Linked DNA regions of Lepisosteus oculatus. The protein of the gene in region 3 purifies or fractionates together with the protein of the main gene of each other region. This does not show direct contact. Links are inferred from orthologs where the notes say so. Each region holds a gene or a part of one and is shown on either strand. Other genes may lie near its edges.

The links.
Region 1: the proteins of psmg2 (region 3) and psmg3 purify together in Homo sapiens (affinity purification with mass spectrometry; 4 studies listed by BioGRID and IntAct, counting the BioPlex papers as one, with this or other methods). This does not show direct contact. The link is inferred for Lepisosteus oculatus from reciprocal best matches to the Homo sapiens genes PSMG2 and PSMG3.
Region 2: the proteins of psmg2 (region 3) and psma4 purify together in Homo sapiens (affinity purification with mass spectrometry; 4 studies listed by BioGRID and IntAct, with this or other methods). This does not show direct contact. The link is inferred for Lepisosteus oculatus from reciprocal best matches to the Homo sapiens genes PSMG2 and PSMA4.
Region 4: the proteins of psmg2 (region 3) and pomp purify together in Homo sapiens (co-immunoprecipitation; 6 studies listed by BioGRID and IntAct, counting the BioPlex papers as one, with this or other methods). This does not show direct contact. The link is inferred for Lepisosteus oculatus from reciprocal best matches to the Homo sapiens genes PSMG2 and POMP.

What each region holds. Positions count from the first base shown.
Region 1 is NC_090714.1:1,335,825-1,343,103, reverse strand, and holds the start of psmg3 (proteasome assembly chaperone 3), read left to right. Parts: upstream 1-4,268; 5' UTR 4,269-4,300; intron 4,301-4,709; exon of another isoform or gene 4,710-4,788; intron 4,789-5,694; 5' UTR 5,695-5,779; intron 5,780-7,250; 5' UTR 7,251-7,269; coding exon 7,270-7,279. UniProt on the Homo sapiens protein: Chaperone protein which promotes assembly of the 20S proteasome. May cooperate with PSMG1-PSMG2 heterodimers to orchestrate the correct assembly of proteasomes.
Region 2 is NC_090700.1:60,551,296-60,558,883, reverse strand, and holds the start of psma4 (proteasome subunit alpha type-4), read left to right. Parts: upstream 1-4,587; 5' UTR 4,588-4,658; exon of another isoform or gene 4,659-4,672; intron 4,673-5,537; 5' UTR 5,538-5,563; coding exon 5,564-5,566; intron 5,567-5,777; coding exon 5,778-5,820; intron 5,821-6,195; coding exon 6,196-6,358; intron 6,359-7,316; coding exon 7,317-7,394; intron 7,395-7,553; coding exon 7,554-7,588. UniProt on the Homo sapiens protein: Component of the 20S core proteasome complex involved in the proteolytic degradation of most intracellular proteins. This complex plays numerous essential roles within the cell by associating with different regulatory particles.
Region 3 is NC_090705.1:9,334,501-9,342,452, forward strand, and holds the start of psmg2 (proteasome assembly chaperone 2), read left to right. Parts: upstream 1-4,933; 5' UTR 4,934-5,052; coding exon 5,053-5,109; intron 5,110-5,233; coding exon 5,234-5,405; intron 5,406-6,271; coding exon 6,272-6,330; intron 6,331-6,998; coding exon 6,999-7,117; intron 7,118-7,839; coding exon 7,840-7,952. Other genes in the region: cep76 (centrosomal protein of 76 kDa), read right to left, coding at 58-243, 1,500-1,724, 2,133-2,214, 2,889-3,044, 4,408-4,470. UniProt on the Homo sapiens protein: Chaperone protein which promotes assembly of the 20S proteasome as part of a heterodimer with PSMG1.
Region 4 is NC_090700.1:1,688,832-1,696,551, forward strand, and holds pomp (proteasome maturation protein), read right to left. Parts: upstream 3,010-7,720; 5' UTR 2,905-3,009; coding exon 2,902-2,904; intron 2,064-2,901; coding exon 1,963-2,063; intron 1,542-1,962; coding exon 1,481-1,541; intron 1,201-1,480; coding exon 1,099-1,200; intron 840-1,098; coding exon 746-839; intron 510-745; coding exon 442-509; 3' UTR 285-441; downstream 1-284. Other genes in the region: c5h11orf65 (protein MFI), read right to left, coding at 4,033-4,235, 5,295-5,350, 5,925-6,095, 6,268-6,401, 6,948-7,160. UniProt on the Homo sapiens protein: Molecular chaperone essential for the assembly of standard proteasomes and immunoproteasomes. Degraded after completion of proteasome maturation. Mediates the association of 20S preproteasome with the endoplasmic reticulum.

The DNA.
Region 1 (7,279 bases), on a different chromosome or scaffold from region 3:
GTGGATATACATTAGCTAGCATTACAGGAGAATGGTGCAGTTTGCCTGACACAACAACAAAACAGCCATCCTTATCTGAAATAACATCGGAAGGCATAAATGGCATAACATTTACTGTAGCAAGCCAAATCACCATTCAGGGATACTCAAATTCACTCTCCACCACCGATCATTTGATATGATTTATAATCTTAGGCCACGTGACATACTGACTTTCTATTCATGTTAGGAGCTCTCTAAAGATAAAAAGCACAAACTGAAAATATATTTCAGGGAATACATTATGCTTTCATAAATCCTGGAAGAGATGAATGCTCTGAAAACATTGCTATGTTGAGGTTCAGTTCAGTTTAAATGAAACTGGTGATTCACCCCTTAAAAGGTCAGTAGCTGTGACCCAGTATTGCACAGCAATACTTGAGAGCAGGAGATGAAAAGACACATGAATGCTCTCGATCCATCGCTCCTTCTGAGTTTGTGTAGGATGATAAAGACTTCTATATGAGCCTGATAGAGGACACATAAAGGTGTCTGAGAAGTCAAATGTGAAAGATTGTAGAAAGACGCTATTAGAACTATATTATAATTTTAAAAATATCACATGTAAGATTATGAAAACAAAAGGATCATCTAAACGGTAGCAGCAGTCTAGTGGACAGTCAGCATGATTTCTGAAAAAGCATGTGCTGGAAGTAGGCTTTCAAAGATATAAATAACACCACAGACAGGACAATAATGCTCAGAGTGAGATGACGTCATTAGTTATTAATGTAACTGTTAGGACCACTGCTATGTCTAATTTATATTAAAAACTGGGATTCTAATACAGTTAGTAAGGTTCTCAGGTTTGGAGACAATATCAAAATAGGAATGTTATCAAGTACCATAGTAAATTTAAAAGGATTTGCACAAAAAATCAAGACAGATCAAATGCTTGGATGAAGTACTAAATATACTAGAAGAAGAAGTTAATATGCACAATGCTACATGGAGGCTGAAAAAAAACAAACCAATGTAAGATGAGAATAACTGAACCAGAAGAAGTTACTCATGAGGTAGGCTTGGAGGCTTATTTTACCTTCATTTACATCTTTTATACAATTAAGCAAATGTAAATTAAACTGCAAAAAGTGCTATTACAAAGGCTAACATGTCGAGATGGCTAAGATATCAAGACGTCTCAAAATGTTTTACATTGGAGGTACAGTAACAAATTAGATGCTGGGAGTTTCTCAACATCTGGATGGAACAGGATAGGTTGCTAAAGGCATCCAATTTTTCAGTTTGGCACCAATGCTGTCTTGTCACTACTGAGCCGCAAGAAATATTGTCACATCCAGGTTTTAATACTTGATGAGCAGCTAGCAAAGGCAGTGACAACTAGATCTGTGTCTTGTGATTGCATGAGCAAAAGTGTTGAAGGCAGAAATGCGATTGAGCAGAACTAGCAGGGCCAATGTACCCAAGTCTGAGGGCACAAGGAGGTCATTAGCCACCTTCACCAGAGATGTACTGTACCAGTGGTGTGAAACTGACAGAAGCCTGAATGAAAAGGTCTGGAGAGCTTGTTTCTCATTAAATGATCTTGCAGTTGGGAAATTGCCACTTGCTGTAGGGCATTGGCTAGGAAGGGAAGATTTAAATGGCAGGTAAGATTCAAGGGTCTCTTCAGTACAGGTGTAAGTCCAACAGGTTTAAGTGAAGATGGCAAAATACCCAGATACAATTTGTTGATCATCACTGTGATAATGGGGCCAAAGACTAAAAACCTGGTACACAGTGAGCTAAGAAAGGGATCAAGATAACAGAATTTATATAGACAGAATTAGACAGAACTTTACCACAAAATTACTCTCAGTCAGTGAGGAGGGTAATTTGTGATTGCTGTTGATTTGAATTGGCAATAAACTTGATTTTTTATATTGTTTACTTTTATACTTTATCACTCCCCCATTATGTCATAATCTATTTTTACTTTTATAATACTGTATGTATACTGAGAAAAAAAATGCATCATTTATTGCCTCTCTTGTAAGAATCTTTTCCATCTCCCTCTTTGGCAATTTTACTCCACCTTTACCAGTTGTTCTCTTTTTTTACCTTAGAAAATGGTCATGATTTCCCAATAGTTCTATCACTTTTTCTTTAATTGTTTCCTGGTCCTTTGAAAATTAAAGTCAATACAAGTCCCCTAGATAGTGCTTTTAAAAAACATGTTAAGAATTCAATAACAATTTCAACCATATTAACATAATAGAACATTATGTTCACTGCAGATCTTGCTGATCTCATCATACTTGCACTGATGTGTGCATTAGGAGGTTTGCTTTTTACATCTAGTGTTGTCCTTTGACAATGGCTGGAAAAATAAGATATTTTTGAAGTTTTAGTTGAAGTTTGTGGTGTTGCAGCTCTCTATACCAAAATACCCACTGGTAACTACACAAGGCATAAAATAACACTGCACTGCCGCACTGTCATACAGTGCAATCCATGTCACGGAAATGGCACTTAAAACAACTAAAGCAGTGAACATGCACCCAACTCTAGTAATAATTGTATGCACCATAACCCTTTTGTGGCACATTCTGTAGATTTAAGGCACTTGGAAGATGACCAGCGAAAAGCTGTCAAACAAGTGTTATATGAAGAGCCTACAGTTTTTGCCCATGAAAAGGATGACATAGGTTGTGTTCTGAGCTTACAGATGGGAATTACTTTAAAAGATGACTGTGACAGGCAGTCAGCATGAGTCAGCGCCTAAGAGGAACCAGCTGTCAGCCACTGTGCTCCTTATACCTCCTCCCTGTTTGAGCTCCTTGCCCCTGGATGGAGCAGCTAGGTGAGGTGGAAGGGGAGAGGGCTCCATGCACCAGAGCTCTGCGGGAGAGACGGAGTGAGAAAGAGACAGAGGATCTGGTTGTCAGACAGACTGTCGGTCCGAGATGATCTGAAATAATCTACCGTTTTCTTTTTTGCTTTGGAGTAAAAGAAACCTGAAGCTCCTATTTATTTTGAAACCTGAACTAGTGCCATTGCTTTTATCTACTCTGAGACAATGACATCCCTGTTCAGAGAACCCAAGTACTGTATAAGTGCCACAACTACACTACCGAGTGCTGAGACAATACATTCAAGACCCGTTGGCCAGAAGATGGATAGTAAAGTCAAAACCTTTTTACTCATCCCCAGTAGAGTGTGTCCATAAGAAGGATTGGACTTTATGGCTATATGTCAATTACAGGCTACGTCAATACCCGACAGCCAGACCAACACCCACTGCCACAGATCCAAGACCTGACAGATCTTTCGGATGGTTCTCACGTGTTGATCAGCGCAAGGCTTACCACCAAGGATTCCAGGAAAGGGATCTTGACATCTGACAGCACTGACTACGCCTTGGGGGTTATAGGAGTGGGTGCAAATCCCTCTGGGGCTAAACAATGCACCTGCAGCCATGCAGCGAGCGGAACTCTACCACACCAATACACAAGACTACCCAAGGATTGCCAAGCCAGTCTAGGAATTATTCCAGGATGGCTAGCACGAGAGGAACATCCTCAAAAGCTTTTCCAAAAGGAAGTACAGTAGGCCCTGCTGTCATCCAGGACTCATTAAATGGACTGAAGGGCACAAGAGTATACTTCTGAGACTAATATATCTGTTCACTGGTCCCCAGCTGGTATCCCAGCTTCAACTTACAATTCATACGGCACACCAATGTATTTAAAAGGACTTGGAGCAGTACTTTATCACTGTGACAGGGTGCCTGTTTTTTTCAAATGAATGTTAAATACTCCAAGGCCTTTCCATTATGTTTGTAATTGTGTATGTGATAAGTACGAAGTGTGAATGGTACATACCCCCCACCCCTTTCCCTCAGATCACTGAAGTGTTCTCCATTGTGTTGTGTTGTGTTGTATTGGGCCACCCTTCACCTGTTTGCGGTTGGTTCCCAGACTGCCACACCAGCAGTACTCAAAAAAAATTGTTGATCTTAAAGGGAAAGGTTACTGGGAAGTCATCCATAATCAACTGATGTGTGTCTCTTTTCCTTGCTTAAACAAATTAAAACCCTCACGTGACTTGGTTAAAGTTTGTAAGCTGGCAACAGTTTGTAAGTTATCTTTGGAACTATATTAAATTATTTTATTTGTTTACCAATGGTCCACCACTATAAGAAATACGAGTAAGTCCCTTTAAGGGGGGGTGGCCCATGGAAGGAGGAGCTATAAAGGGACTGGGGGCACGCAGCAGGTGGATGGTCTCTTGGAGGGAAGGTGTGCTGAGAGGAGCCTCTGTGAGTTTTGGATTCTATTTGATCCTAGTTTGAAGGAAATTAATCCAGGTTTGCCTGCACTGGAGGACTGCTGTTTGTTAATTAAATCAAACCCAGTTGCTTGCTTGGTGACAATCAGGCACAGAATGGGGAAAATGAGGCCCACTGAGTCTTGAACACTACCACTGGCTGAAAGGAGCTCCATGCAGAAAAGCTTGAATTTCTGTAAACAGTCTAATGCCATTCTGTACTCTACACATGGTTGGGCCTCTTTCACTTGTTTTGTTTAAAGCATTAACTGGCAATCAGAATTATCTGACTCCTACACCATCTGTGTACTGCCTGTTTTCATTAAGTATGCTTAAAGTAAAGCTTTCTAGCTTGTGGGCTTTTATCCCCATTATTAAAACAGTGGTGCCTTCTTTTTCAGCTTGTAGCAGATTTCACAGTGGTGAGGTCCTGCCATGTCAAAAGACATGAATTCTGAAAAAATACACTGACAAGGCAAGGTGGGAAACTGCCTGTGACCTTCTTTGTATTGGTTCCAATATTTATTTTTTGCTAATTAATGTGAGATTTATATTTTAAATTTGAAGTGAAAGGCCCTGAATGTGAAAATGCTTGCAGTGCTGTGGGTTTTCACTAGGGGCCTCAGTAATGTGCATGTGTTTGACATGTTTCATGTGGATACCCCAAGTGAGCTGTCTGGTCCTCTGGTTAATCTGTGCCTTCATGGACAACCTTTATATTAAAGTAATTCTATTAATGATTGGGTGTTTAAATTCTATAGTTATATTCAACTATTGCTGATGTTTTAAAAATGAATAAGAAATTGTTCCACCCTGTGCCTCCCTAAGGATTGCTGCATTTAATCTGGTCAGCATAAATATTTAAACAAGATGGTCTTTTTTTGTAGATGTAAAACAGCTTAAGCTATTTCTATCACAAGTACTAAAAGCTGTTGCTGGTTTGTGCTTTACTACAGGGGAAACAAATTTAGCAAAACTAGATTTGCATTAAAGCAGTTTCATCCATATTTTTAAGTTAACAGAAATTGATTCATGTAATAAGACTTAAACGTTTTTTTGAAGCTATGGTATTTAGTCGCGCTTTGTCATTTAAAAACCGTCTTTTTCTTTAAGTCGGAGAAAAAATGTTTTCGGCTCACATTGTATAGTTATAAAAATATTATACTTTTTAGCGGAACTGTGGCAAGATGTGCTGATAAATATTTATAATAAGTGTTGCAACACTTATAGAGAACGTAAACCACCTCTAGGATGTTTTAAGTTGAGGAGAAAGTCGCAATATTTAATTATAATAAAGTAACAGGTTGATAAACAGTTTCTGTTCTGCGCTTGTGCGCTGTTTCCCACATGTGGTAGTGACTTGCACCGGAGCAGAAGTCTTTTCAGTTTTTTTCAGCTCCCCTGACCGTGTGTATATTTCAAGATTTCCGTAGGATTGTTTTGCATACATTTGGCCGAACGTAAGCAGAAGGTAAGATGCGGTTTTTGTACCTTAAAATTCTCACGAACCCTTAATCGAGCCTGGCTGTAGAATCCTTCGTGGCCCGCTGCACTGGGAGTTGGTGGAAGCCCCGAGCTCTCGTAGTTCACTCGCCGAGCGAAGTGCGGTGTCGGCAGGATCGAACTGGTTTCGGTAGCGCTGTTAACTGCGAGCCGTCCAAGCAGGAACGCTGGAAAGGTAATTCCATATTTCCTTAAAATGCGATATGGACACTGATTTTTCAAATAAAATGCATTTTAGAATATTTAAGAAACCCCAGTGTAAGTGTTGGGTATAAAATACCGTCAAAAACATCTTTTTCCAGTTTGGGGCAAAAGGATTAACCGATTTTAATTGAAGGTCGAGCTTAAAGGATATTTATCGAAAGTGTAAATATAGAAACCTAAGCTTGTGATTTGTTCCTTGCACAATCTTTTTCTTTAAAAACTTTAGTTTAAATTTTAGATTCCTTACCGTCGTCTAGAGTTTGACATTTAAGTATCGTCTTTTCCGCAGAAATTAAGTGAACAGCAGTAATAAACCCATCAATATGTATGGACTTAAAACTTATACTTGAGTTAACAAGACAAACGGGATACCAAAAATTAACCTGAGTGTTTAGTCCTGTAAGTCATGAATGATGTGTATATAATCTTTAAAATGGGTTAAAACCATTTTTAACTGATTTGATTCTTCGAGAACTGCTGAAGAGCATTAAGTTGTTTCCGTCAAAACCTTCAAACTTCTGTATCATTTAAAGGGGAACCAAGGCCATTTTATACATTTTGGGGTTGGAAAGAATCAGCAGGGATGAGTGCATTTCAAACCTGAACGAAAGTAAGAGGTGTACACACAGGAACTTGTAAAACCACCAATTTACACCACAAAATTGACGAAATTTCCAAGGGTGCGCAGCACCCTATTCTGCGAGTCAACAAAACTTCGGGTGACCTGATGCAGCCTTGTTGCATCTTATTGCGCCTCCTTAATCCAATGGACATATTGCTCTCGACTTCGGGGTGGTTAACTCACTTGTTTACTCTGCAAGCAGATCAGGTTGGGAACGTGCGCGGCGAGTGAGCTTCTGCACAACCTGCACTTAATTCATCGCAGGGCATCAGTCATCCTGACGAGCGAGCGGACAGGGCCGTACCGCGTCACGGCTCTCGCCCGTGGCGTGACCAGGGGTTTGCCACACCAAGGGGACTCACGATTGTGCTTAATTTGGGTTTTGTCATTTTTTTTACACCGTTCATTTATTTTGTTACCAACATTTTAATAACCAGTTTGAGAAATTGGGCCTGCGGTCCCTCTTTAATTCCTTTGTTCTCACCATTTGTTTTTTAAATCTCTTTTATACACTTCCCTATAAAAGAGATGCTCGGGTAGGCTTGAACTGCTGTATGAAATAGTGGAATGTGTCATTGAGCGTGAAGTTATCATGGTCCATTTTATTTTTCAGACCTATCCAGAAGGTGACTATGGCAGCTG
Region 2 (7,588 bases), on a different chromosome or scaffold from region 3:
GTGCTGTCTTGTATCTGCTGAGTTGTTTGTAGATTATGCAAATTATAGCATACTTTCATTTTGTGATTCACTTCTTCTAAATGAAGAATCCTAAGATATATAAACTTTCAGACAACAAGACAGTTACACTGTAGAAATGAGAAGTGGACGGCCTTTTGACTGCCAGAACACCTTGAATGGAAAACTCAAGATCCAGCTTGAACATTGTCCATGTTTTCTTTTCTCCATACCATCACTTCCAGATGCCTTCCTTTCACATGAAACATATCCAATATACTTTGTTTTGGTAACTGTGAAATCATTTTTTGGACTGTTTGTGTATGTCTTGAATCACTGAGAAGAACGACTGACTTCCTTAATAGTTCATATTGATGTGAAGAATGTGTCAATTTAAAATCTGAAGCCAGATCACTGTCGTTAGAACAGGTTTTACAGGAGTCTGTCTGATCTAAATCCTCATAGCACTTTCAGAGAGATTCAAGATAATTAAACCTTTTTGTTTCCTGCCTTTCTTCCTTGTGTATATCATTGGTGTTGACAAATTCATTTATTAATGCGAGGGGGGTAAAATATCAAATTAAATGCACTTTTCTTGACATTTTGGCATATGTCACTAATATTGTTTGTTTACTGGCAGTTTGATAATGCTAGTTTTGTGTTTATATAGTATGTAATGTTGCAAAAGTAGTAAATGAAATCGCTCATCACTGCACATTGTTTAAAAAACAAATAATATGCAGTGTCAGTTACTGTTACCTCAGAGTTTTGTCTGTGCCATCCGGATAACCTTCAGCTAGGCCCATATCTGGCATGTTGTTCGATATTCCTTAACGGGCGAGACTGCCAAAGCTGCCCCCCTATCTAAAAGTACTTTGACATGGCCTTGCAGAATAAGCTTTACCAGTTGGAATTCTTTTTTTCCCCAAGACACGTGTGTTATTCTGAGTTTTTAGAAGTGTGAGTAACTGTTTATGCTGTCCTCTGCAGTTCCAGGTTCTGCTCTGTGATAATCAGTCCCACTGGAAAGTGATGAACCACGTCACCAGTAGTTGCTGCTCCTCAGACACCATTGTTTTAATCGGTTCACGTGGGTTGTGTGTTTCTGAACTATTTTGGGAAGTTGGGGTTTAGTCTTGCTTTCTGGGTTTTATTCAGTACGTCAGTCAAGTCAAGCTCTTAAACCAGCAGCACATCACCCTGCAACTCACAACTGGCAACCCACTGAAGCTCAGCAGGTGTGAGCCTGGTCAGTACCTGGATGGGAGACCTCCTGGGAAAAACTAAGGCTGCTGCTGGAAGAGGTGTTAGTGGGGCCAGCAGGGGCCGCTCACCCTGCGGTCCATGTGGGTCTTAATGCCCCAGTATAGTGATGGGGACGCTATACTGTAAACAGGCGCCATCCTTGGATGAGGTGTAAAACTGAGGTCCTGACTGTCTGTGGTCATTAAAAAAAACCCAGGGTGTTTCTCGAAAAGAGTAGGGGTGTAACCCCGGCGTCCTGGCCACATTTCCCATTGGCCTTTACTAGTCATGGCCTCCTAATAATCCCCATCTCTGAACTGGCTTCATCACTCTGCTCTCCTCCCCACTGACCTGTAAAACGCTTTGAGTGGAGTGTCCAGAAAAGCGCTATATAAGTGTAAGCAATTATTATTATTTTATTATTATTATTAAATGAATTCTGCCTTCAATGTGGCAGTGCTGCCGCATTTCATTGCTCTTGTGGTCACAGTTTACTGGTACAGTTTTATATTTCTCTAGCGACGTTGTACAGAAAAGACCATGAAAGTGCAGTAACTTTTAGACGTAGCCATGAACTTAGAATTCTGTATGTGTGGCGTGGTGCTTTACTTACAGTAGTCTCTGGGGTTTGCCAAAGCGGATTTTGACAGCAGTCTCCTTGGTCTAGTTTCAGAACCGCATGTATACAGCACAAGCCTATCAGGAGTACTTATTAAAATAAGTATTGTACAAAATGTATTAAATATGTAACTATTAACTGTTGCTGATAATGTAAATACATTTTAATAAAGACTGAAATGCAATTATTTCTGTATTGTAAATATTTTTCTTTTTTTTTTATTTGGTAGTGTAGTATCAGTGGATCTTCGTTACTTAATTAAATTGAACTGCTTATTACCTTGCAATCATTTTAATCTGGCTGATACCGTTTATAAAATTATTATATAATTGCTTGCCAGAAGAAACGCTGAAATGGATATTACATTTGCTAAATTCTGCCCTTATCAGCTGTCTTGCATGAAAGCAAAAGAATTAAGTTCTGCTCTGGATTGCATCCATGTATCAGTGTGAGTTAACCCATCCTACTTTCAGAGAGAAAGGAACTGTCCTCAATATTTTTTCTGTTTCAGTATATGTGCAGTTATTTGTATCTGCTGCATACAAATGAATGAATGGTTTTATAATGGTCTTGTACAGCGTTAATTCTGGATGCTGGTGGATGGTGGATGCTGCACATTAGTGGTGGTGGCGGGGATCCCCATTACCTGTATAGCGCTTTGAGTGTAGTGTCCAGAAAAGCGCTCTGTAAGTGTAAGCAATTATTATTATTATTATTATTATTATTATTATTATTATTATTATTATTATTATATCTAGACTTACATGGTTATAATGTTGACAGGTTGCAAGTATCTTATACTTGCATGCATAAAGTACATATTATATATATAGATGTGTTCATCTCAAAGGATCCCAAACTGCTTTACACACAAAAGGGAGCTCATTTCTATGATGTGCCATTATGTATCAGCGACCGCACTGCACAGCAGATCAGGAGAAGTGCGAAATGAAGTGGGAATTTTTAAGAAGGTGAGGGGTTGATACTCATACTCTTTCAAGACATGGCATGGGATCTTTAATGACTTTTATGATGATGATCATTTTTTTTTTATTAATAATTTAACGACCTGAGATTTTTCAAGGCCAGCAGCCATATCACCCCACAGATTACATCTGGCAGCCCCACTGAAGCTCAGCAGGTGTGAGCCTGGTCAGTACCTGGATGGGAGACCTCCTGGGAAAAACTAAGGCTGCTGCTGGAAAAGGTGTTAGTAGGGCCAGTAGGGGGCGCTCACCCTGCTATCTGTGTGGGTCCTAATGCCCCAGTATGGTGATGGGGACACTGTACTGTAAACAGGTGCCATTCTTCAGATGAGATGTAAAACTGAGGTCCTGACTCTCTGTGGTCATTTAAAATCCAAGGGTGTTTCCCTGGCGTCCTGGCCAAATTTCCCATTGGCCCTTACCAATCATGGCCTCCTAATAATCCCCCTCTATGAATTGGCTTCATCACTCTGCTCTCCTCCCCACTAATAGATGATGTGTGGGGAGTGTACTGGTGCACTATGGCTGCTGTTGCATCATCCAGGTGGGGCTGCACACTGGTGTTGGTGGAGGGGATCCCCATTACCTGTCAAACGCTTTGAGTGGAGTGTCCAGAAAAGTGCTATATAAGTGAAAGCAATTATTATTAATTTTAATGACCACAGAGAGTACAGACCTCGGTTTTTCATCTCATCTAAAGGATGGCTCCCCTTTTTTACAGTATAATGTTCCTATTAGCTACACTGGGCCATTACGACAACACAGACCGCTGGTTGAGTTCTCCCTACTGGTCCTACTAGCACCTCTTCCAGCAGCACCCTTGGTTTTCCCAAGAACCAGGAGGCCTCCCATCCAGGTTCTGGCCAGGGTTTAAGGTCTTGTCTATAAAATGGCACCTTCTACAGTGCACTGTCTCCCATTTACCACGCTGGGGAGTTTGTGTGGGATTTCTGGTCAGGATGGGAAGAGTGCATGTACTGGTCCACCAACACCACCTGCAACAGTAAACTGGATTTACCTGAAGTTCTCCCCATTCCTCCCAGTACTGACCTGGCCCAGTCTTGCTTAGCATCTAATGAGTTAAGGGTAAATAGTGGTAATGAAAGCAAAAGGCACTTTGTGTGAAGAAAGATGAATATCTGCCAGCGTTTTTGCTGTATCAAAGCCAATTTCCTGGTTTTATTAAAACATTCATGAGCTTCCACCTATCAAATGAGCAAGGTGGTCTAAATCAATTCTGCTAATCTTCTTTGCGTATTGTTTACTGAACTGTGCGTTGCAAATAAATTTAGACATAGAGTTAGAGAAATACAATGCAGTTTGCAAACAATATTTTTAATAAATACCCTAACACTGACATAAAAAATAAAGAGACATTGGAATTAAAGGGATACCGGCAGCTATATCACATTGCAACTCAACTGGCGGTCCACTGAAGCTCAGCAGGTGTGAGCCTGGCCAGTACCTGGATGGGAGACCTCCTGGGAAAAACTAAGGCTGCTGCTGGAAGAGGTGTTAGTGGGGCCAGCAGGGGGCGCTCACCCTGCGGTCTGTGTGGGTCCTATGTCCCACTATAGTGACGGGGACACCAAACTTAAAAAGGTGCCATCCCTCAGTAGTGGTTGTACGAACTGCTGGTTTAATTGCGTTTTCTTGTTTTTTCATAGTTTGCGTTGAATCATCCACGCTACTAGGGGGCGCCAAAATAAAACTTGGCTCACAAGTTATGGAAAGTGCGCTCTTTTTATTTTTGGATGAGTCGGTGTTTCATTTCAGGTAGTCCCCGGCAACATTCTGACTGAGCAGCATTTGTAAGATATAAAATATAAAATTACATTTACTTTTAAAACGGATTAGCTTTTTTAAACGCAATTTGCTTTGGGCGCTTAGATCGTATTACGAGACTGTATGGCTCATTACGCTTGTTTTCAGAAACCTTAGTAGTTTTATGTTTTTGGCCTACGTGAATGATGCTCTGTAGTTCCTGCTTCATCATGCTGGCAAAGTCTAGTGTGCTGTAACTTGTGTAAATGTAGCTTATTGTTTTTCATGATTTTGCCTCTTTGTTTCAGAAGAGAGTCAGATTCTAATGTGACTGTATTTGTAAACTTAGTATGTTTGATATATTTCAGTTTTTTAATGTGTTCTCCTGGTATTGGAAACCACTTTGTCATTATGGGTTAGCTCCTGTTGGTTTCGTTTTCTTTAGCTTTGACGATATGCGATGATTTGCAAGCAATATAAACATGTTACACGTTTTTCAGTCCACTGTACTGCAGATTTTCTATTTTTGGAGGATAAGGACAAGTTTTACTGTTGACTAGACAGTGTGTTGCGCCTGAATGGTTGTGCATATTGTTAGTATAACTGGAATGTTTTCATGGTACCCTTGACTGCTGAAGACTAATACATTAATAAATATTGATTTGTGTTAATAACCATTTTTTGTATAGACCATGAATACTCTAATTGGGCTTAAATGTGTATTAAATCCCAACTGTGCGAAGCTTTTATTATCGTATAATCAACATTGAAGCAGGTTTAATCAGCTCAGACAAATTTTTAAAAACTAAGCTCCTTTATTTGTCATGGTTTCTGCTACTGGTTGCTTCTTCACAGTTTCCAAACGACTTTTGTTCATGCTTATTAAAACAGATCTAATGTCTGTATTTTTTTTTTTGTGTGTGCAGATTTTACGTGACAAGTCCTTGTCAGGATGGTAAGTACACTGCTGTAAAGTGTGCCTGTAACAAGCTTAATTCGTCCTAATGTGTTCAAAACACTTTGGAATGTTGTTTTTAAAGAGATAATTTGCTTATAATGAGACTGGGTAGTCTAACTGGGACTTCAACTTTAGGTTCTGGGAAAGTTACAAATTAAAGCATAGCAGGTAATAAGATAATGGTTATTAATGTTGTTGTTGTTTTTAGTCTCGCAGATATGACTCTCGGACAACTATTTTCTCACCAGAAGGCAAGTATTTGTTTTTCTGTGAGGTTTGCTGTCTTTGTAGTTTAATTATTATTAATATGAAGACCACCGAAACTTTTTTGAAATATGTAGCCGAATGATACTGATGTGTGGAAACAGCTGTTACTTTTATTGTTTCTCTTTTCATTTTGCCTTTTAACTTTGAGCAGATGTGAAGGAGTTATAAAGAGAAGCATGTTACAAACCAGTCTGTTAAATTACGTGGCTTTTTTTGTGTTTACCATTGTGTCTTCCACAAACCAACGTTGACCATTTTAAACTAATGGGAAACAGAGTTTCCTCAATTTTCAGTTTGTAGTTGGATTGTCTTTCAAGTCTCCACATCTCCCTGCCTGATGAGCTGTGATTTTGTGGCAGGCCGTCTGTACCAGGTGGAGTATGCCATGGAAGCGATTGGGCACGCTGGCACTTGCCTTGGGATTTTGGCCAATGATGGTGTGTTGTTGGCTGCAGAGAGGCGAAACATTCACAAACTTCTAGATGAAGTGTTCTTCTCAGAGAAGATCTACAAGCTGAATGAGTGAGTTTTTTGTTTATTGTCTTTACCCAGAAAAATCTTGTTTACATGAATTCTTTGTATTCAGGTTTTACTACATTGTTGTAGTTTCTGTCTACAAAACATGTTAAGCCCTTAAAAAATGTATTTGTAACAGAGGATTTATTTTAGAACCTAAGTTTTTCACATTTCTATGTACTGGAGTTTTTTCCAAGTGCTTGTTTGAAATGCAAGTGCTTGTATAGACAATTGCTTAGCAATCACACAGTCTGTCAAGTGAACAAGTCCCTTATAACCCCCCTTATCAGGTTTAAGAGCATTGTTGGTTTAATCTAATAAAACGTTTTTCTTATACGTTGCCCAGTTTGAGATTGCCAGTTGTTTTTTTAACTTAGCTGTCTGGTAACAGCTCCTGTACTCATACGGGATAAAATTAGACTAGCAGATAAGGTCCTCTCTCACCTGCAAATGATGTTGTCATTTTGACACACTACAGACTCCACACCAGATTCGAATGGAAGAAATGCTTCTTGTTTTCTGTCCTAAATACACTCGTGCTTACTTGTATTTATATTCTTTGGTCTTGGCTTTCTTGCTTGGATTGGCATAGTAAGATTTTCTTAGAGTCTGTAAGCATCAGTGATCTCCGGAGAGACTCCTGTTACTTGTTGAAGTGGATCTCTTAACCTTTCTATTTTTATCATAGGCAGGTGGATATGGTTGCAATTTTTTGTTCTGTTTCTGAAACAATATTTACATAAATGTCATTCATTTCATTTTCTGTAAACTATTGTATTAATAGTTGCGTCGAGTAGTATAAAGAGACTTGGGAGCGATTGACTACTTTTCCGATTGCATTTTCTATTTCAAAGAAAAATTACATAAAAAATTACCTTTAAAGAACTGACGGATTGTTGAAAAAGTCAGATTTGAAGTTCCTTACACAACCTTAAAAGCTTATCCCCATGGTTGTCTTTTGCAGAGATATGGCGTGCAGTGTGGCTGGGATAACATCAGATGCCAACGTTCTGACCAATGAGCTGAGGCTAATAGCACAAAGGTAAGCTGATAAAATGTTAATGAGCTTTGTGGGTTGGTCTGTATCAGCTGTATTTTCCTCATTATTTGCTTAATGATGTGTTCCATGTCTTGCAATATACAGTATATTTGGGTGGTTCTTTCATTTACACCTGGGGTATAAATTACTGTCTTCTGTCAGGTATTTGCTGCAGTACCAGGAACCAATCCCTTGTG
Region 3 (7,952 bases):
AACCACATTTTGGTACGTTTCAACAAAAAAATAAAATTAAAATGTTCATTTTCCTACCCACTCCCAGGAGTTCCACAGCTAAAGTAGTTCTTCCATTCGGTGAACTCAGGACGGATCGCCAATCCAGGAAATAGGAGGAAACTAGCAAAGTCTCACTTGATGTGTCCGTCTTGATAAGAACCATGTGAACGGGATCACTAACAGACAACATTGTTGTGGCATCTGCCATCTTACTGCCGTCACCTAGAAACAATTAAACAATTAACAACCTGAGACCCTTCAAGTAGTTAAAATACACAACCCTCTAGTTCTGGGTCAAACACGATGTGCCAAGCAGTGGCCTCTCTGTGCGTGCCATAAAGGTGGTTCTCATGATTTCAGAATTAGTGTGCCTGTCTCAGTAAGGCAGCAAATGTCAATCAAAGATTCAACCATGAAGACCCAGGAGCTTTCAAAACAACTCATGGATAAAGCAGTCTAAAGGCACTGATCTCGAGAAGGGTTTGAAAACATTTCAGAGACTCTTAATATCTCACTGACCGCTGCGACGTCAGTCTGTAAGAAGTGGTAAGCACCCAGACACTGCCTAAATCAGGTTGCCTCTCCAGCCCTGTAAAACACATTCCAGATCCCACAGGAGATACTGCAAACACGTGGCAAAAGGTTTGGCGGTCAGACATGACAAAACTGGACTTTTTTTAGTCTAAATGCAAAGCGTTGCATCTGACGCAAACCCTGTTATAAAGCAGCTGGATACAGCCGCAGGTGCTACTGGAATTAACCCCAAGTGCAGGAGAGCGACAGAAATGTCTGAAGAGACCTGACTGATTGAGAATTGAGCAAAGTACTGGAGAATTTGAGAAAAAAACCTGCTTTAGACTTACAATTTGGGCAAAATTTGTCCTTCAGCAAGACAATGATGCAACACATAAGGCAAAAACTGCACAGGAATAAGAAGGTGAATGTCCATAAGTGGCCCAATCAAAGTCCTGACTTGAATCCTATTGAGAATCTGTTATTTAAACATTTCTTTTTTAAACGTGATAAGTATCTTGAGAGAACATGAGCAAATCTGCCAAGAAAAACAGGCAAAAACTGCACTAAGCTGGTGTGTAAGGTACCGTAAGAACAGACCACAGCTACAGCCAATGGTGCTTCCTCCAAATATTGAGTTCATGAGCCTCCACTCAATTACTTTTGCTGACATTTACTACAACCTATCTTACCCTGAGCATTTAGCTCTTGAATAAAATATTAAACTTAAAAAATGTGGATCCATCACTTTGCATATCCGTTCTCATTTATACTGTACCTGTAGCCACACCCCTGCTCAAAAGATGATTGTCTTGAGCATCTATACGAGTATTGATTATCTGATGTGTTTCTAGTTATACTGTCTGCTGCTGTAAAATAAACTGGCGCTCAGGGATAATAAGGACTCTCGCTTGTGTAATGATGAACGAAGGTCCCAGTCTGTTGCTGCGGAAGACGGCTCTGACCTGGACCCTCTCTGTGGACTTCCAGCAGGAAGCCCTCCTGGAGATCTGGCTCACAGGCGCAGGGCACAGGCTTGGAGCGGAAACGCTGGTTCCTGAAGTGCAGGTACAGGGTGAATGTGGAGCACACCTGCCCAGGTAATGGCTCAGGCTCCTGGAGATGCTCCAGAAAAGCCTTTCCCCCAAGAACCTGCAGGTAAAGGTACCTTCTTGTTGGGTCAATGTTGGCTGGAAAAGAAATTAACCTCAATTAGGAGACGCCGATGGGCCATTAATGCGATTATGGAGTTAGAATTAGGCTCATTTTAAAGTAATCGATAAATAACAGTGACAAAAGGATTACTTCATGTTCACACTCAGTAAAAAAATCCCATTTCTACTTTTTAGTAAAGCAAGGAAGTACTGCACGATAGTTTTGTAGCACAAGCGAACCGTTAAACCAGTATTTTCGGAGTCAAAAAGCTAACACTAACGCATACCCTGAAGTAAATCAGACTGCCTATTGTAAGATTTTTTTTTTTGCCTTTATGTAATATGCCATTAAAATGGTAAATGGTAATTTCCAGTTCAGTTCTTCCAATTTAACTGAATGGACCAAACATTATTGCACTGCATATCGTTAAAAGTCTTTCTTACTTTTCTTGAGTTGTGCTGGCTCCTTGTCGACAAAATGTGTTGAGGGTTTAGGAGTAGAGATGGCCTCTCTGCTTGGCAATTCCTAATCCAGGCCACACACACAGAGGGAAGGGAAACAGACATCAGGAGATTTCTTCACGGGGGGAAAACATGTCACCCTTATACAGTATCATGTACTTAACAGCACACTTCCCAACAAATAAGTGTCCTTCCTTCATTATTAAGTAAGCCCTCCTTACTGTCCCCCAAGCCCGTCTACATTGTATGGGCGACAGGGCCTTCTCCTGCTATGCCCCCAAGCTCTGGAACTCTTTGCCCAAGGATATCCGAGAGTCAGCTTCTCTAAACTCCTTCAAATCCAGACTCAAAACCTTCTTCTTCAGAAAAGCCTTTACTTAACTGGTTCCATTCTTCACCCCTCTGCTCTTCTTAGTACCACCTTCCACGGTCTCCTCTATTGTTATTGTTGTAATTGTAATTGTGTCTTATCTTGTGAAATCTTCCTATTTATTGTTGTAGTCTTCTTATTTATTGTTATTGTCATCCTGTAAAGCGCTTTGAGAAGCCACCTTTAAAGGCGCTATATAAAATAAAGTTTATTATTATTATTATTATTATTATTATTATTATTATTATTATTGAAAACATAGATACAGAGTTAAAATGGAAACAACCGAAAACAGAGATAGTTTTCTGCGTCGGTAAGATACCGCGAGATAAACTGGATTGTAATCCTGATCTGAATCAAACACTCACCTGCACAAAGCTTAGGTCCTTCATGACATCATCGACGATCCCCCTTCGTTGCAAACCCCGTATTAAGTCCTCTTCCGAGAGATTGTGATGTCCAGAGCCCAGCTCCTCCCGCACGGTCTCAGCCAAGACATCCCGGATCTTCCCATGGATATCGATCTGCACATGCATCCATTAGATACATCCATTAGATACACCTCCTGGGAAAAACTTAGGTTGCTACTGGTAGAGGTGTTATTGGGGCCAGCAGACACTGCAGTCCATGTGGGTCCTAATGCCCCAGTATAGTGATGGGGACACTATACTGTAAACAGGTGCCGTCCTTCGGATGAGACGTAAAACCGAGGTCCGGACTCTCTGTGGTCATTAAAAATCCCTGGGCGTTTCTCGAAAAGAGTAGGGGTGTAATCCCGGCGTCCTGGCCAAATTTCCCATTGGCCCTTACCAATCATGGCCTCCTAATAATCCCCCTCTATGAATTGGCTTCATTACTCTCTGCTCTCCTCCCCACTAATAGCTGATGTGTGGTGAGCGTTCTGGTGCACTATGGCTGCCGTCGCATCATCCAGGTGGTGGAGGGGAGTCTCCATTACCTGTAAAAGCGCTTTGAGTGGAGTGTCCAGAAAAGTGCTATATAAGTGTAAGCAATTATTATTATTATTATTATTATTATTATTATTACTTCTTTATCCCAGAAAGGGTGAGAGTATTATGAATCAAACTACCCAGACATTGTGTTGTAGCCTGTACCCTGGCTTCAGGCAAGAAACGGCAATCAGCTACTAACATAAGAGGTGGATTGGACCAAAGGCCTTCTTTCATCTTCGCTGGAATCAAACTACCGTAGAAGATATGTGAATGATGAAAACAAAAATTGTTTACACTGTATCTTCAAATAAACGCCGCATACAGCTTGAACACGATCTTGATTAAAATTTTCACATTAAAATATGATTTCTCGTGGTACATACGCCCATTTTCTGAGTGCTAATACAGTAGCATGCGTTAAAGCTTAGTCGCACTGAACCTACAAGAAGCACAGTTCTGTACCAAGGCCTTCCCCAGTGGGTCTGCAGAGTGCGATGATGGTTATCTGATTATTTCGAAAAATGCTTGAGTTGATTTCAAATATTTTTTTTTAAGAACTGTAGGCCAAAGGAACTATTTAATGTTGGCAACTACAGAGTCCGGAATTTAAGAGATCAGACAACAATTCAGAACCGTGGACAGAGCACAGCAATCGGGCAACTAAAACCAGGAGGAAACCTTACCGACTGAATGCTCAACCTGAAGCCGAAAACATGACAGCAGGAACAGCTTAGAAAGACGGACTGTTACCTGTCACATTAGCTACCTGTACTTTCACTGAAGTGGCCCATAAGTATCTTCGAGTGCTACAACATTATTCCCGCAAACTTTAAGCTCCGGACTCGTTTCTTTGGAAAGTCTGGACGATGGGTTAAGATCATATTATTTCTCCAAAGCATGCAGGCGTCTCTGGTGAGACTAATACTGTACTCACCTTTGTCAAGTGGTTGTGAATGATCTGTTTCAGCTCAGAAGCCTTTTCTGGTGGAAGAGACATGCTCACAGAGGACGTCTACTGTATAGAAGTCCCAACGAACAAATCGTTACTTATTTAATTACGTGACTACTTTCACACTCCCCCTGCTTACTTAAATTGAAACTGGTCAAACTAAAAAAAAAGGGGGGCTGATTTCGCTTTCCAGGTTTTCGAAAGCAGCAGTCTGAACCGTCAAGCTCGTCTCCTCCCCACAACAACCAACGAGCAGACAGAACTTTCAAACCGTGGCGGAAAAGCCAGCGGGAAGCCATCCATTGTAGTGCCCGACTTAATCTTGCACAAAATAAAATGCAGCAAAGGGAAATAGCACACATATTACACCCAATTTATATATTTGTCCATACTTTTTAAAGATAATGACATTTTCGTTATATATTTTGTGTCTAACAAAAAGTCATTTTAGTTTTCATCAGGCACCATATAAGTCCACCCTCAACGTAACAGACTCCAAGCGAGCGTCATGTCAAGGAAGGACCCTGGAAGTAGCATGGAGTTGTAGTGAAACGGAAAGTTGTCATTCTGTACACATTAGTACAGTTAAAAATCATTTTACCGAATTGTCTATTTTTCTTACTCGCAAACATGTTTATTCCGGTTGGGTGCTCAGCGCCCTCTTTCAAAGAGTTTACCCTTATAATGGTAAGTTAGACGTTTTACATTATGCTTAATGTTGTTTTTTTCTAGTTGTTAATTTACATGTTAAAAAAGGGCTTATATATTTTTCCGTTCCTTTACTTTGCTGTTATCCTGTGGTTGATTGTAGCCGGCGGTATCGGTGGGAAACGTGGGACAGTTTGCAACAGACCTGGTCATTTCTACCCTTCACATGCCTCGAGTGGGCTATTTCCACAGTGACTGTCTAGTACCCATGGTAGGAAATAATCCCTATGCCACATCGCCAGAAGATTCATCTGAACTCAGTACAAATGCCGAAGGTTAGTATGTGGACGGATTCTGCTCATCAAAGATACGTATATGCATCAACGCGTCTGGATGCAACGAAGTTTAGATTTTTTAGATAGCCCGTACCAAACTGACACAGCTTGTCTTGAATGTGTGGTAGTTTTGTTGTAGTTCTCAAACTCTTGTAAATAACCGATCTGCTGTGTACTATAGCAGGTTCAGGCTATGTAGTGATTTAAGATCATCCTTAAAATGCATAATAATTTGCATCTATAAATTATTATTGCATCTTTAAGTGTTGTAGATTTAAATCAATACGTTTATTGAAATAATATGTGAATTTCATGCTGGACGTACATGTAGTCCACCAAAAGAACGTTCAGTATTCATCTGAACTCACACTTACAGTGGATATTCTTTTTCTGATACAGGCCAGAACATAAGCTTTTCTAGAGAAAACCAGCAAATAATTCACGCTCACGTTTATTCACTGTCAGTTTCTACTTGTGTCCTCTTGTTTATTCTAAAGAAGACCACTGGGTTGACTTTGTCAGTGCCTTTGAGAATGTTTAAAACTTGGTTCAGGTCCCCTTGTAGTCTTCTGTGTTCAAGATGAAAAAGGTTCAGTGCGTGTAGCCTGTTCGTATAGGATATTCCATTCAGTCCCTGAATGTCTGGTGGTTCTTTGCTGGACTGATGAAAGAACAACAAATGATTTTTTATGATGTAGTGACCAAAATTGTATGTAACATTCTGACAATTCAAGTGCTGTGCCTCTTTCCATATAAGTCTGCACATTCTGTGTTACAGATGTATTTAGTACTGTATATAGATTTAATGATAAAAAGTTACATCCAAAGAAATGTCAGTGGCATTTTCTGTTTTTGTCTGTGCACAGTGTACTCTTTGCCTGACTTAAAGCTGGCTGTCCTTCAGATCCGGGCTCCCATCATACAGGTAAGAAGCTATGGACCAGAGGCTAAGTAGGCTGATTAGATGAATTAATTAGACTAATTAAGTCATTAAGGGTAATTAACCTGTCTAAGAAGGTAGACGGAGTAATTAACTCCACCACAAGTAGGACTACTATATTTGTGTAGAGCCCCACCGAAGTGTAGTGAATGTTCAAGAAGAAAAGTACATAAACCTATAATCGCACATTCAGTGCTAGTGAAGTCGCATTCATTATATCACTTTTATTGTATACTTCTGCAGCTTTGTTGGCTTTCATAATAAGTGTATTATAATAAGTTACAATGGTCCATTCCTTTGAGTTTAAATTATGGGTAGTAAAAAAGCTAGTTCAGGTGGGTAGCTGCGTCAGATGCGTAGGCTGCAAAGGAACAAGTAATAGGTTTATTCCATGCTGGAAAAAAAGAAGAAAGAGAACACAACGTTTCGGCCGTGGAGCCTTCTTCAGGTGTGTGACCTTGGTGTGTGACCAAGCCCAGACCTGAAGAAGGCTCCACGGCCGAAACGTTGTGTTCTCTTTCTTCTTTTTTTTCAGCATGGAATAAACCTCTATTACTTGTAAAAAAGCTAGTCTGTCATTTTGTTAGTACAGCTTTTCTGTGACCATTCAACTTACAGGAATAGGTCTAATCGTTTCTTTCTTGCCTTATTAGACGAAATACAGGCAGTTTCGGAAACGTGTTGTCTCCTGGATCAAGACAAACAAATTCTCCAAAGTTGTCCTCCTGTCTAGCTGTCATGCTCATCATCGGGATGACCGTCAGCTCCTCAGGTGAGAGACCTCTCATCTTTAATCTTCGGTTTTATGTCATTTTGTCTTTCTCTTCTCTGTGATGAATGTAGTATTTCACATTGATGGCTCTTTGACCCAGTAGATAAAAACAAGTGGCTAGCAGATTTACTGCTGATTCTGTGTGGTCTTTCAGCAGCACAATGTTGAGGGGAATAAGAATAAAGAATAAAGCAGACAGGCAGAAGCTTTAGTTCGTTTAAACCTTTTCTTCCCGATGTTCTGGATGGACAATTATCCTGCGCAAAGTACCTTTAACCTATACCTTTAACGCAAAGTAGCATTACATTAGTTGAATTGTTGTGTAGTAATGTGTGGTATGAGCAATGTTCCCTCTGAGCTGTGGGCGGGTAAGCGCACGCACAGGTTACGAGATCAGCACACATAGGAAATTGAACTGCGCACAAAACATCAAATAAAAAAAAATGATGATAATAAAACAAACACGGTCGTCAATTGGAAAATGCTAAATTGACCACATGGGACTGGCTGAGAGAGGCCCACCTTGGCTGTGTGCATTATTACTGCTCCTCGATCATCGATATCTACGCTCTTGAAGTCTCCTTCCTCACTGCTCGTGCTCGCTCCACACTCAGCCTCTATAACTGGGCTCGTTGAATCGCTGTCCTGGTCTTTTGGATCTCTATGCTTATATGAGGTTGACTATATTGACAAAAAAGAAATATTCCGTCCTCTGCTTCCAGCACTCCTCTGCGCTATTTGCTCACTCCTGCCCTGCAGAGCGTTGTCGGAGATGGACTGCAGAAGCTGGACTGGAAAGAGATGGAGAAGGTGTCGGCTTTTCCGGGGATCAGTG
Region 4 (7,720 bases), on a different chromosome or scaffold from region 3:
AAAGAAATCTTTTCACTGTTTTGTCTTCCTTGTGTGTTCATGGAAACAAACGTATTCAAAGGTTTAATGTGCTTTAGATTTAACAACATTAAGTATTTGGCAGAAATCCTGAAGGCATCCAAACTGGTATTAAACATTGCAGAGGTAAGTTCAACTCATGCCTTTATATACTATCTTTCACCAGACAATACCAACATGCTATACAAGTGGCACAGCCTTACGTCCATGATCATTTTAACTGAAAAAAGCATACTGTTAATGAAATCAAAGTCTGACACCCAAAATACTAAATAAAGAGAGCAAACAAAGCTTTATTAGAAATCTTTAAACGATAATTTGATTCTAACCATGCAAAATACTTTGTCCTGTATGGTTAGAATATAGCAAAAAGAAGCACATTTGTCTTATGTCAAACAATCACACAGAGTAACGTGAATTTTTTTACAGCAAACCCGTTTTGTATTCCACCATGACATGGGGCTCCCCCATGACTTCACTTTGTGCTGGATCTGCGAATAAAAAAAACACCAAGTTGAAATAAAAGCCGTTGGAGAGTGATTCTCAATATCAATCTAAGCCCAGCTGTCCACACACAATGGTCCCCTGTGTACCCCTGGTGGTTTCTGTTTACAGAAAAAAGGAAACATTGCCTGGAGTAAAATGGGGGTTCAGCTTCCAGGAACTGTTAATGTTTAATGACCCAACGCCATCCTTCAAACTGCTGTAGGGAGTTCTGAATACTTACCGTTCAATATGTCCTCAAAACCAACGTACTCGTCATTTCCTCTGAGAGTATCTAGTGCAATGTTTGAACTCTGAAGGAAGGGCAAACGCTGTATCTGGAAAAGCACAGCATGCAGGATATTGTTATGGGTACAATAGATACAAACAGCTTTTGAAAGTGTGACAGAAAAAAAAGCATAATGTCATTTATCACTAATCTCCACTTGACTTCAAAGGATGACATTTTGCAAAGGCAGATTCTGATGTTCACCTTTAGTATGGTTATTAACTTAACCAAGTGAATTTTGGACTGAGCTTCTTAAACATATGTGTTCTAAAACATACCCCCCTTCAAGACAGCTGGTGAGAGGGTACCTGTTTTGCTGCCTTGTACTCCATCTGCAGTTTCAGAGGTGCATGAAGTCCCTGAATGTTCCTGAGCGTGGCAAAGTTCATCTTGTCTTGATTGAGCTGAAACTAGCAGAAACGAAGCAGCGATGTTAAATGCAATGTCTGACATAGTAGCACTTCATAGAGCTGTAGTTTATTACAACATGACAACCCGAAAGACACGGGAACTATGGCTATTTTAGGAAAAGCACCAAGGGCTAAATCAGGATTGTAAAGCTGACAAAATATGATTATATATATTTTATATTATCGGTCTGCCATCCACTTTAAGAATCAACTTCAGTAAAATGGTGCTTAAATGTAAAACTTCTCGGTTACCAGTGCACATACCAGCTGAAACACTTACGTTCTTCTCGGAGAGCTCCAGGGGGTGGGAGGGCAGGAGTTCGTTCTTCACGCTGGAGAAGCTGAAAGCCAGTGACAAGGACAGAAAACTTCAGACTCTATCAAAATCTATTTGCTAAAAACACCGTTGCAACTTCTAGTTTATTCATACATGTTATGGCCTAGCTCTGTAATGACGTAATCCAATTAATTAAAGTTCCTCCTCAAAAATAAATGAAGTACTGATTCTACGCCATAAGAAACAGCTCACATTTTTATCCTGTAAAGCTGCAGTCACAATTAACGACTCGTGGGGCAGTCAACAGGCTCTTTCTTCAGACCATGATGGGATGGGTTTCATTTTAAAAAGAACAAGCAAGAATGTTTTTCCCGTTCATGAAGAAGTCAAATCCAGCGATGGGAAGGAAGGGACATGTCGGTCTGAGTCTGAGAGAGGAACCACGAAGATCCAGACCGCGAGTGAGATACGGAGCGGTCACTCACCCCTTGCGCAGTGTGTCAGGTACGCCATAGGTTCCCGACTGCGGACACAGCCCTGTGACGGGGATGCTGTCCTTCAGCTGTGATCGAAGACCTCTAGTATTCTGAAATACAGCAGTGCCCCCATGAGCAGCGCTTGGCAGGGACTGTCAAAGAACTGTGGGGCAGCTTAGTCTACTGTCCCACAACACGACATCGCCCGTTAAAAGATCAACCGCAGACTGACCTTGATCACAATGGTTCTCAAATGGAGAATCTCAGAGACCGCTCAGGTGTGTAAGCAATGCATTTCACCCCAAATCCAATTATTAATAAATCCTTGAATTTATATACCTGTCCAGAACTCTCCCAGTGTGAAAGCCTGTGATGTGACAGTAATGATGAACAATGACCCTATTCATCCCATGTACTTGTTGTGTAGGAATGAGAGGACTCAGTTCACCCGCCCGGGTGATGGACAGTAACCTCACCACTCCAGAGCGACCCCAGGGTTAAAGTGACTCCTGCAGGGAGTCAAGATCACCGACAGGATTTGGGCATTTTACCGCGACAGTCGGATAACCAGTGTCCCAAGAGCAATGATACTGCAAATCAGGACCAGAGCACTTTCAGTTTCGCGTCGCTCCGTGTATTCACAAAGTACGCTTGATTGTCACGTTGGTAACCAACAAATCTTTAAGACTGATGAGTAGATACCACATTAGTGCCTGTTAATTCAGCAACGCACGGGAATAAACAAGGCCCGAGACATATTTTGACGTGAACAACTGAACTCGCGGAGAGCAGTGACTAATCAAAACTCAGCTAAATGAACCTCTTGTACAATCACGTCAGCTTCAGTGTAACGCTGACAAAATCCGTTAAAAGTATCTTGGCTTAAGAGCAACATGTAAATCACACGTTCCCTATAACAAGAGATTTTTAAATAAAAACTCATCTCACCATACTGATCCGGCGGCTTCTTTCTTCCTAATGACCCCACACCGAGTACTTCCGGCTCACCGGTACCCCTCACACGTGACAAATGACGATGCTTCCGCTGATGGCAGCTCTGAAAAGTCCGAAACGAAGATAGAAATCTTCATCTATCAGCTTAGAAACAATTAAGTTTAACTTTGCTTTCATTAAGTACTTGCGGGCAACACATAGTTCTAATATTACAATTTTTAAAATTACATTAGAAAACGGCGATACACACAGTTGATTTGTATAGGCCATCGGCAGGCGTTTCGCAGACAGGGGGTATAGCTCAGTGGTAGAGCATTTGACTGCAGATCAAGAGGTCCCCGGTTCAAATCCGGGTGCCCCCTCTTTTTTTTGTGTAAAATTCAAAAACACCATCTTTTTACATTATTATTATTATTATTATTATTAAAATAGAAGGGATCATAATTGAAGTGCTTTTTTGGTTTTACATGAACCTGTATAAACACAACTGTGTACTGTCAATCCAGTTTTTTATTCTAGTTTAGGACGACACCCATATAATACTAGCACTGACTCATACATTTGACACATCTCAGCATCCAGCACAGAGCACAGGGGTGTTCCCAGTTCTTACTCATTCTGGAGGTGCCAGGGAGCAGGCTGCAGACTGCTGATGCCTTGATGTACGTCTAGTTTACTGAGAAACAGACCCTAGAGTCAGCCGGCCTCAGTGAAACAGAGGATCCACAGACATAAGACACAAAAAAGCTCCACATACAGCTTTATTAGGAATCAGCATGGAAAATGACAGTGTCTTGGGGCAACGCGTGTAAAATATTGAGAATTCAAACATGGGGGAAAATAATTTTCATTTAAAACAGGGACAGGTCATATGAACGTGTACTACATTTTCAGACCTTCGTTACCATTGATATATCTTGTTGAAAATAGTACCCTGAAGGAACAGATTAATCACGTTAAATATTTACCCTGATGAAGAGCCAGAGCCCTTCAGTTTTCACCATCAGAACACCATCAGTTTTCTGGCACGAACCGAAACATGAGTAAGCAGGGGAAAGCTGTCATGGCCTCCTAACGGGAGAGCGCTGTACTTCGGTGCACACTGGACACTCCACTCCTGTCTGTCTAAAGTGGCAGCTGCTTTATCTGTCTGCTGTGGGAGCCGTGCTCTGCCATGCTAGCCCTGGAGAGCAGGGGGGTGCTGTAAGACTGGTACTGGCTGGAGACGTGACAGGTGAGGGCGCTGCAGTCGGCGGCTGCCTGACTGCCCTCCCGGGAGAACCGCGTGAACTCGCACTGGTCGTGCTGGGAGACGACGAGCCTCGAACCTGTAACAGAGACAGGCCACCGTGTCAAAGCGCTGGCAGCAGAAAGGGCTGTAACACAGCATAACATAGCAACTCCCACGCAGTCCTGCACGGAAAATGTCTTTTGCTTAGAACTCCATGTGGTTTCAACTACAAAGCAGAGCTTTCTCACCGCAGCTCTGACAAGTGATTTATTTAAAGTATTTCTTTTGAATTTGACAGGGGTGGCAAATCGTAGTGGGTTACCCCCCGGACTCAGCCCCTGCCCCAGATAGAGGTTCTTTACCCCGGCTGCTTCAGTCCAACTCAATTTATTATGTATTATTCAGTCCAACATGTATTATGTGGGGAGCAGCATGCAGGACGCTCCCTGTGATGGACTGGCATCCCCTGCAAGGGGAGTCACATGCTCGCTAGTCTGCTTAATGCTGCAGAAACCAGGATGAACTTTATCCCGAGGAGCTGATGTGTCTCTGGGATGGACTTTAATTTTAACTACAGTACTTATACAGAGTACTAGACACTGAATTCAGTCTGCAGTCTGCTTTCTTCTCATTGTATCACATCAGTTTTCTAAAGTTCTAAATCTTCAGTTTTCTAAATTAATTAAAACTATAAATTGTTGTTATAGAAAGAAAGTGTTTGAGTTCAATATTTGGTCTTCAAACATTAAAAAATTATGACTTGAAAAGAACAGAAATAGTTTTGAACGAGAAGAAACTGAACTCCCAAATGATAGCTTTCCAAAGTCTTGTGTTTGTAAAACACAATAATGGTCAAATGATCATACAACAATCATATAAAAATAATATATACATATAATATATTATATAAAAATAATGTTTAACAACTAGTTTCCAGCATGGGAGACAACCACCAGTGTAGTAATCCTTCCAAATGTTTAATCACAAAAAGGAGAAAGACAAGTAATTACAAATCTGGTAAACTTTATTCTACACTATCTAAAACTCAGAAGTATGTTATCAGGAATGTGTGTTTTTCATGTCTATCATTGTGTGTGTCAGTGCACACGGGTATTTTTCTCCAGTAATCTTCTTCATCATAAGTTCTCTTTTTTACCTTTATAGGACTCTGAAAAACCACTCATTGCTGTTTCCTTCCATCCATTCATGTACCTGAAATACAGAAAAGAAGACTAAACTAAGAGCAAAGTTTTTCCCATGGGTCTCATTAATTTAGTACAACACTTCCATTGCATTTATAAATACTGTACATTCTACTGCTGCTTTTCAGCAGGTATTCCAAAACATGTGGTCCATGTTTAACTCTAAGTGTTCAAAAGAGCAAGACGTTTCTACTGAAAGTCGATTGTGTGTATATGACAGAGAAAGAAAAGGAGACAGAGATGTAGAGAGAAAGGCAAAGGTGGTTCGCATAGAGCATGTTTGAAATATATATAATAGATTTATATCATAATATAATTATATTTAATCAAGCGACGCAGGAGTGCTGTTTGATATGCTTCAAATCCGTACAGCAAGAGAGTTTCTTGTGTTCAAATTGGGAAAAGGGGTGGGACTTGGAACTGACTTGATTTGATATATTCATGTAATTGCAGCACTAAACTGGCATTTTGACTGACATGTACCAGGACCTTCTGTGGCAGCACACGAGGGCAGGACACTTGACAATACGGCTGACCTGACCGCCAGGGAGGCGGGCCTGTGCGTCTGCACGGCGGCGACTCACTCTTCGAAGTTGAGGGAGTTGGTCCACTCCAGCAGCTCGTCCACTTCCCACTCCAGCACGTGGCTGGGCCCCAGCTGATCCACCGCCGCCATCATGCCCTCTGCGGCCTTGTCCACGAGCAGAGCCGCGTCAGGGTCCTCTGTGCGGGCCTGCAGGAGGCCGTCTTCATACCTGGGCAGTGCACACAGATGCCACTCATCAGCCAGCAGCGCCTTCTGCTAATGCAGGGCAATTTCTCAAACCTCTAGAATGTTTATGTGGAGCCACGGCAAGGTTTACTCCTGGCACCTGGGGAGTAATAAAACTCACCCCCTGAATTTGACCTAGTCAATAATAAACTCACATCTTTTTCATCCAGTCAATTTTCCTCTGCTTCCTCCTTCTCCCTACTTCCTGGCGCCTCTGGATCCTGGAGTAATGGAATTCCGTTTTCTTCGCGGCAGAGTCCAGTGTTACGGGGTCGCCCATTAACCAAATCTTATAACAGCAACGGACAGAAACACAAGAGCAGCGTATCACACCTTCGTGAAAAAGGAAATAAGTTACATAACGCAACTTCATTTTTGAACAAAGAAACAAGCAAAAAACCAAAATCGATCGAAGGGATTAATAAGTGGTCGGAACTTCACAGAAAAAAAGGGGTTATTCCTTTGCAAGTGTATACAATAATAGGACCTGCTCTGAGTATTTCCAGATTCTGTTATTCTTGTTTTTGCCGAGAATGTCATGTCCCATGCAGTGGACAAATATGTGCCTGGATCTATACAAAGTGCAAATTCAGTAATCACACTAATGAGGACCATGATGTAGCGCACTCTAGCAGACTAATACGAAGAGAAGAGGGGGTCTTGAGTTCAGGGATGAATTTTGGCCCCTTGGGTGTGGTTTACATGTCCGCCAGGTGCTCTGGTCTCTGAACGGCCCGTGAGCGGGCGCGTGGCCGGGTGGACGCAGGCGCAGGGGGAGAGCGCCCCCCGCAGGCCTGGCTCAGCAGTGCGGCCCCGCGGGAGGGCCCCGCCGCACCTTGCCCGAGAGGAGCCTCCAGCCGTTGTTCTCCTCCCGCCGGTACCAGCCCGAGCGGTCCTCCTGCCCCGCAGCCCGCCCGCGGTTGTGGATTTGCCCCGGCAGGGGCCGCCTGGCTGCGGGGCAGGTGTAGTCCTTGGGGCTGTTGGCGCACATGTCCACTATCGGGCGGTGCGTGAATATCTTGTAGTAGATGCTTGGAGGAAATTTTGTCTGAAAAGGGGGGTAAAAAACGAATCCTGAACACAAAAGAACAGCAACCCCACGTTTTGCATTCATCTGAAAGTGTGAGGGGTCGAACTGTTAGAGGTCACAGTGAAACCTTGCCACAAATAAAGACTAAAGCAAACATTTTATTTTTATAGACAAGGAGTTCTAAGTGTGCTGTTATAATGGCCAGAAACTGGTCAGAAACTGGCCAGCAGCCATATCACCCTGCAACTCACCACTGGCAGCTCACAGGAGCTCAGCAGTGTGAGCCTGGCCAGTACCTGGATGGGAGACTCCTGGGAAAGCTAAGGTTGCTGCTAGAAGAGGTGTTAGTGGGGCCAGAAGGGGGCGCTCACCCTGCAGTCTGTGTGGGTCCTAATGCCCCAGTATAGTGATGGGGACACTATACTGTTAAAAGGTGCTGTCCTTCAGTTCAGATGTAAAACCGAGGTCCTGACTCTCTGTGGTCATTAAAAATTGTCTAAAAAAGAGTAGGGGTGTTACCCCAGTGTAAGTAATTTTTATTATTATTCTCTCCCCAGATTCCAGGGTAGAGCTATCCC